2 linked regions of the Macaca fascicularis genome follow. The protein of the gene in region 1 binds, or shares a complex with, the protein of each later gene. Links are inferred from orthologs where the notes say so. Each region holds a gene or a part of one and is shown on either strand. Other genes may lie near its edges.

Evidence for each region.
Region 2: THOC5 (region 1) and DDX39B share a complex: the UniProt entries of both Homo sapiens proteins name them as parts of the transcription/export (TREX) complex. The link is inferred for Macaca fascicularis from reciprocal best matches to the Homo sapiens genes THOC5 and DDX39B.

Annotation. Positions count from the first base shown.
Region 1 is NC_088384.1:22,130,273-22,134,087, forward strand, and holds part of THOC5 (THO complex subunit 5), read left to right. Parts: intron 1-1,235; exon of another isoform or gene 1,236-1,532; coding exon of another isoform or gene 1,533-1,565; intron 1,566-2,330; coding exon 2,331-2,474; intron 2,475-3,393; coding exon 3,394-3,507; intron 3,508-3,815. UniProt on the Homo sapiens protein: Component of the THO subcomplex of the TREX complex which is thought to couple mRNA transcription, processing and nuclear export, and which specifically associates with spliced mRNA and not with unspliced pre-mRNA.
Region 2 is NC_088378.1:140,193,113-140,196,927, forward strand, and holds part of DDX39B (spliceosome RNA helicase DDX39B), read left to right. Parts: intron 1-204; coding exon 205-297; intron 298-2,335; coding exon 2,336-2,519; intron 2,520-2,569; exon of another isoform or gene 2,570-2,645; intron 2,646-3,529; coding exon 3,530-3,648; exon of another isoform or gene 3,649-3,815. UniProt on the Homo sapiens protein: Involved in nuclear export of spliced and unspliced mRNA. Component of the TREX complex which is thought to couple mRNA transcription, processing and nuclear export, and specifically associates with spliced mRNA and not with unspliced pre-mRNA.

The sequences.
Region 1 (3,815 bases):
AAACCCCATCTCTACTAGAAATACAGAAATTAGCCGGGCCTGGTGGCAGGTACCTGTAATCCCAGCTACCCATGAGCCTGAAGCAGGAGAATTGCCTGAACCTGGAAGGCGAAGTTTGCAGTTAACTGAGATCACGCCACTGCACTCCAGCCTGGGTGACAAGACTGAGACTCTGTCTCAAAAATAAAAAAATTAAAAAAAAATAAAAATAAAAAAATAAAAACCCGTTTTTTGAGGAGAAATTCAAGTTGGTTGCAGAAATTTGCATAAGTAGCAGGAAGCCTAATGTTAATCTCCAACACCATGGGGAACATGTCTCTAGGCCTTGTCAGAGACCTTCATGGCAGCCCCTCCCATCACAGGCCCAGAGGCCCAGGAGGAAAAAGTGGTTTTGTGGGCCAGTCCCAGGTTCCCCGTGCTGTATGCAGCCTAGGGACTTGGTGCCCTGTGTCCCAGCCACTCTAGGCATAGCTGAAAGGGGCCAATGTAGAGCTTGGGCTGTAGCTTCAGAGGGTGGAAGCCCCAAGCTTTGGCAGCTTCCATGTGGTGTTGAGCCTGTGGGTACACAGAAGTCAAGAATGGAGATTTGCTCCGCCTGGATTTCAGATGTATGGAGACGCCTGGATTCCCAAGCAAAAGTTTGCTGCTGGCGTGCTCATGGAGAACCTCTGCTAGGGCAGTGTGGAAGGGAATGTGGGGTTAGAGTCCCCACACAGAGTCCCTACTGAGGCACTGCCTAGTGGAACTGTGAGAAGAGGGCCACCGTCCCTCCAGATCCTAGAATGGTTGATCCACCAATGGCTTGGGCAATGCACCTGGAAAAGCTGCAGACACTCAATGCCAGCCTATGAAAGCAGCCAGGAGGGAGGGAGAATGTATCCTGCAAAGCCACAGGGGCAGAGCTGCCCAAGACCATGGGAACCCGCCTTTTGCATCAGCGTGACCTGGATGTGAGACTTGGAGTCAAAGGAGATCATTTTGGAGCTTTAAAATTTGACTGTCCTGCTGGATTTTGGACTTGCATGGGCTCTGTAACCCCTTTGTTTTGGCCAATTTCTCCCATTTGGAATGGCTATATTCACCCCATTGTACCCCCATTGTATCTAGGAAGTAACTAGCTTGCTTTCGATTTTACAGGCTCATAGGCGGAAGGGGCTTTCCTTGTCTCAGATGAGATTTTGGACTGTGGACTTTTGGGTTAATGCTGAAATGAGTTAAGACTTTGGGCGACTGTTGGGAAGGCATGATTGGTTTTGAAATGTGAGGACATGAGATTTGGAGGGGCCAGGGGCGGAATTATATGGTTTGGTTTTCAATCTCAACTTTAATTGTATCTCCCAGAATTGGCACATGTTGTGGGAGGGACCCAGAGGGAGGTAATTGAATCATGGGGGCCAGTCCTTCCCGTGCTATTCTCATGATAGTGAATAAGTCTCGCGACATCTGATGGGTTTATAAGGGGTTTCTGCTTTTGCTTCCTCCTCATTTTTCTCTTGCCGCTGCCACGTAAGAAGTGCCTTTCACCTCCCGCCATGATTCTGAGGCCTCCTCAGCTATGTGGAACTGTAAGTCCAATTAAACCTTTTTTTGTTCCCAGTTTCAGGTGTGTCTTTATTGGCAGCGTGAAAGTGGACTAATACAGATGGGAAGTCGCACTTAACAGCACAGATGATATGATCCCGTTTTGTTTACAAATAAAATGTTTATTTATCCACAGTCTTCACAGTGGTGGTGTTTCGGACTGAAGCGAAATTATAGGCAATTTTTCTGTTTTCTTTTTGATACTACTCTGTATATTCTGAATCTTTGACATCAGGCATGCATTACTCTGCAATCAGAAAGCAAAAGAGGGCCGGGCGCGGTGGCTCACGCCTGTAATCCCAGCACTTTGGGAGGCCGAGGCGGGTGGATCACAAGGTCAGGAGATCGAGACCATGGTGAAACCCCGTCTCTACTAAAAATAGAAAAAATTAGCCGGGCGCAGTGGCGGGTGCCTGTAGTCCCAGCTACTCGGGAGGCTGAGGCAGGAGAATGGCGTGAACCCGGGAGGCGGAGCTTGCAGTGAGCCGAGATTGCGCCACTGCACTCCAGCCTGGGCGACACAGCAAGACTCCGTCTCAAAAAAAAAAAAAAAAAAAAAAAAGAAAGCAAAAGAGGTTTCTATTTTGAAGAGAAGAAAAGCATTTGATTTAAGGACCAGATCTTTTAGAGACCTGATTGGGGCTTCATTGTTACTGTTTTTATCTAACGAGATGTCAGCCAAGTGTCCCTGATCCCAACAGGGAGACTTTTACCTCACGGACACAGAGCCTTTATCCTTACCTCTACAGGAAGGTAAATACTACAGTGAGGAGGCCGAGGTGGATCTGCGGGACCCTGGCAGAGACTATGAGTTATACAAGTATACCTGCCAGGAGCTACAGAGGCTGATGGCTGAGATCCAAGACCTGAAGAGCAGGGGTGGCAAGGATGTGGTAAGAAGGGGGACCACGTGGCCGTGAACCTGGTGGGTATGCGTAGATGAGGCTGTTTTTGCACCTACCAGGGCCCTTCCTGATCTTGGTCTTCTGTCCTAGCCATGATCAGGTGACTGGAGCCTCAGGGCTCCCAAAACCTATTAATTTATTGGAACTTCTCATCACCACTCAGTCACCAATTACAGTAATGAAAGTATAGGATAATTAATTTTTTCCCTACTAATTTGATCATTTATCCAATTAATATTTATTAAGTGCCAGGCATTTTGCTAGGTGTTGAGAAATGATAATAGTACTTATACATTTGCTTGATACAAAGATTGATATGTATAAATAAATTATAGACACCAAAAATGAAATTATCATTAATAGTAAGTGAATAAATGAGGTTTTAGGGGCAGATAAATTAAACAACGTGACTAAAAACTTGATAAGTTTTTAAAAAATCCATTTTTTTTCCAGGAATTGCACATATTCGTGCCTATGCTGACAAGTTTTCTTACGATTATTGCATTCAATCTATTGTAGCCAAGCTTTATGGCTATAATTCTGTGATTTTCCATTTAAGTTATCCTGTAATGTTATTTATAGAGGTCAAATTTTATGGCAAGATGTTACTATTGCCGGGATCTCTGCGTAGGATCTGTAGAGACAGATTGTGCCTTCGCTGCCTTTATTCCAACTTCAATTCCTGTTACTCTAGTCCAAGCAGAAATTGCTTTTTTTTTGCCTGAGATTCTTAAGCGTTTTCCTTATATAACCATCCCTCTTATTTTCTTCATGACTTTTCTCATGGTTCTGGGCTCCCTCCAGTGCCTATGTTTGGCCCCAGATGAGGATGGGTCGGTGGTGAGGGACGGAAGGAAGCTGAGCGAGCCCCTGTCTCAGTGGGCTTTACTGTTTTCTTTGCTCACAGGCAATCGAAATTGAAGAACGGAGGATTCAGAGCTGTGTGCATTTCATGACTCTAAAGAAGCTTAACCGATTAGCCCACATCAGGTTGAAGAAAGGAAGAGATCAGACCCACGAGGTAGGAGTTAAAAGGTTTAATTAACCTTCCTCCTTTCTCCTCCTCATCCCCTTCTTTTTTTTTTGGAGACAGTCTCGTTCTGTCCCCCAGGCTAGAGTGCAGTGGCACAATCTCGATCTTGGCTCACCGCATCCTCTGCCTCCCAGCTTCAAGCAGTTCTCCTGCCTCAGCCTCCCAAGTAGCTGGGATTACAGGTGCCTGCCACCACCACCATGCCCGGCTACTTTTTGTAGTTTTTAGTAGAGATGGGGTTTCACCTTGTTGGCCAGGCTTGTCTTGAACTCCTGAGCTCAGGTGATCCACCCGCC
Region 2 (3,815 bases), on another chromosome or scaffold:
TGTCCTAGCTACATGATGACCTCGGTTACCCTTGACAACCTGACAGCTGTGGGGAATGTTCTATCCAAGCATGGGGTTCGTGATTTAGATCACAGAATTGAAGTCATTTATTATCGGCCCAGGTGTGTTTTTGTCAGTCACTTCCCTAGAGGGAACGATGAAGGGCTACACTCATGGTATGTCTCGGTCTACTTCCTGCCTAAGGTGTCTGTGCTGGTGATGTGTCACACTCGGGAGTTGGCTTTTCAGATCAGCAAGGAATATGAGCGCTTCTCTAAATACATGCCCAATGTCAAGGTAAGCCGAGGTAAAGAGACCTCAGAGTGAGGGTGTGGCAAGTTGGAGGGATAAGAAACTTGTAGGCCAGTAGTCTCTTTAATTTTGGAGAAGTTTTAGTTTGCCATGGTTTAACAGTGTTAAGATCCTATGTAACGGGAGGATTCGTAATTGGGCTATGGATGATGCTTAACCGAGACCACCCTTTTTTTACTACTTTATACTGACTTTGAATCCTATCAGTTTGGTAATTTTGGGGTGTGTGGCAGAGAAAGCCAGAAACTTTAAAACAGCTTCAGGGGTGTGTGAATATTGAGGATTCTGGCCAAGTGCGCAGCGGCTTACACCTGTAATCTCAGCACTTTGGGAGGCCAAGGCATGTGGATCATTTGAGGTCAGGAGTTCGAGACCAGTGTGGCCAATGCGATGAAACCCTGTCTCTACTAAAAATGCAAAAATTAGCCGGGCGTGGTGGCACACACCTGTAGTCCTACCTACTTGGGAGGCTGAGGCAGGAGAATCGCTTGAACCCAGGAAGCAGAGGTTATAGTGAGCTGAGATTGTGCCACTACACTCCAGCCTGGGTGACAGAGTGAGACTCCCATCTCAAAAAAAAAAATCTGATTGAAGTTAAGCATTTTTGGCAATTATCCTTCATAGGTGATGCTGTATCTCCTGTTGTGCCAGAAATCGGGTTGACTTATGTTAGTTATTTTTATTTTTATTTATTTGTTTTGAGATGGAGTCTTGCTGCGTCCCCTGGGCTGTGAGTGTAGTGGTGCGATCTCAGCTCACTGCAGCCTGCACCTCCCAGGTTCAAGCGATTCTCCTGCTTCAACCTGCTGAGTGGCTGGGACTACAGTGTGCCATCATACCCGGCTAATTTTTTTTTTTTTTTTTTGGTAGTGACAGGGTTTCGCCATGTTGGCCAGGCTGGTCTCGAACTCCTGACCTCAAGTGATCCACCCACCTCGGCCTCCCAAAGTGCTGGGATTACAGGTGTGAGCCACTGTGCCTGGCCTCATTAGTGATTTTAGGTTTACCATAGGATTAGCATCGTGACAGTCTGATTCCATGGTCATTCTTTTCCCCCTTAAAACTAGAGTTTCTGGTGTTATTTGACACTGTACCAAGGCCCAGATCCCTAACCAACTATTCACCTAATGGTTTTAACATGAAGTGATAATATTTCACCCAAAGCAGTAATTTCATGGGGTTTGTATGAAGGAGTTTGAGATTCTGGGTTTATTTAGGAAAACTTAATGTTCCATGTGTTTTTTTGTGGTACTTTATACTAATCCTGGTAATTTCTTGCCGTCCTTTATTTATTTATTTTTTATTTTTTGAGATGGAGTCTCGCTCTGTCATCTAGCCTGGAGTACAATGGCTCAATCTCGCCTCACTGCAATCTCCACTTCCTGCATTCAAGCGATTCTCCTTCCTCAGCCTCCTGGCTAAGTTTTGTAGTTTTTGTATTTTAGTAGTAAATTTGTAAATATTGTATTTTAGAAGAGATGGGGTTTCACCATGTTGGCCAGGCTGGTCTTGAACGCCTGGCTTCAAGTGATCCACCTGCCTCGACTTCCCAAACTGCTGGGATTACAGGCGTGAACCACCGGGCCTGGCTTTATTTTATTTATTTATTTATTTATTTAGAGACGGAATATCACTCTTGTTGCCCAGGCTGGAGTACAATGGTGAGATCTTGGTTCACCGCAACCTCTGCCTCCCGAGTAGCTGGAGTTATAGGCGTGCGCCACCACACCTGACTCCTTTATTTTTAAAATGAGGCTTGGCCTCATAAATGAAGGAAGATGGTTAGATTAAGTCAGAAGAACTGAATTATTGTCCTGACTGCTCCGACTAGCTATGTAACTTTAGGCAGTCACCCTCAGTGTTTGGTGGGGGGACATAACATTTCTAAATTAGGTGACCTCTAGAGTTAGTTTTAGTTTTGAAACATGCTAAAAATTGGTTTAGCTCAAACAGTGGGAACTCTGGGGGGATTGGACTCTTTCCTTCCTCTTTTTTGAGACTCTTTGCTCCTGGCTCTCGGCAGGTTGCTGTTTTTTTTGGTGGTCTGTCTATCAAGAAGGATGAAGAGGTGCTGAAGAAGAACTGCCCGCATATCGTCGTGGGGACTCCAGGCCGTATCCTAGCCCTGGCTCGAAATAAGAGCCTCAACCTCAAACACATTAAACACTTTATTTTGGATGAATGTGATAAGATGCTTGAACAGCTCGGTGAGTGGCAGTGCTGGGACTTGGCTAATGCTGGGGAGTTGTTCTTTGGAGCCAAATGATGTTTATTTGAAACAGGAGCGCCTCAGTGCAAGGACGACTCTTATCTATCACCCATGACTGATGGCTCTGGGTTCCCTGGTTGGGCTTTATTATGCTTTTAAGCACAGTAAAGGATGTCATCTATCATCTTTCTATGATTTTTGTTTTTAATCTTTGAGAATAGGGGACTTCGGTAATTTCAGGCCTAAGTTATCACCACCACCACCGTTTTCATTATAGATTCCTATACTGGAAGTCATAGGGGAGATTCTAAACTGAAAGAGAAGACAGTACCCTTCTGGCATCTCCAGCACAGCATTTACAGTCAGAATTTATAGCTGAATAAGTTTCTAGACTCAGGTCTGGGATTAATGTAGAGAGGGTAGCAGTTCGTGTGGTGTGGTATTCTAGTGTGCCAAGTGGGGTTAATGGAAGTTTTTTCTGTAAGATTTGAATCTTGGTGAATGAGTGTGGGGTTGGACATAGGCCCCATAAGTCATTACAAATGGTCTTCGGCAATTCAGTGTGGTGAGTTATAAAGGTGGGCTCCAGGTAGCAATGTCATATTTGCCTGAGTTGATAGAAAAGTGATCCAGAGAGTCATAGATGGACTCTGCTACCTGGAATGTAATATATGGTTGATACTTGTAGTCTCCTGAGGGCTGGCTGGGGCTTGGACAGGAAAGGATTGGGAGAAGGGCCTGTAAAGCATGTTTCGAAGGCCTTGAGAGCGTCTGCACTGGGCTTTGTCCCCGTTTTATAGTTGGGAACTTTGGGGTTTTATCTTATTTCTTGCTTGGTTAAAACGAACAGCTGGAATCTGATCCCAATTCTTGATTCCAAGTCCATTGCTTTTTCCGTTGTGTTATTACTATTTCCAGCAATCTTCACCTCACTGGAAAGTCTACCTCTAATCTTTGTTTATCATACTTGCTTATTTTCTCCTACAATTTTTTTCCTTGTTCTTGTAGACATGCGTCGGGATGTCCAGGAAATTTTTCGCATGACCCCCCACGAGAAGCAGGTCATGATGTTCAGTGCTACCTTGAGCAAAGAGATCCGTCCAGTCTGCCGCAAGTTCATGCAAGATGTAAATACCCTTCTACCTTCTCTCCCTCCACTCCCCGCCCGCTGCCTCCTCCCCTTCCTCGCCCTCTTCCTCAGACTCCCTTGTCATTCAAGTGCCAAGAAGGCGGCTTGTGCCCAACTGGGAGTAATGACTCCTTGAAGAGACATACAGAAGCAGAGACAGCTAGT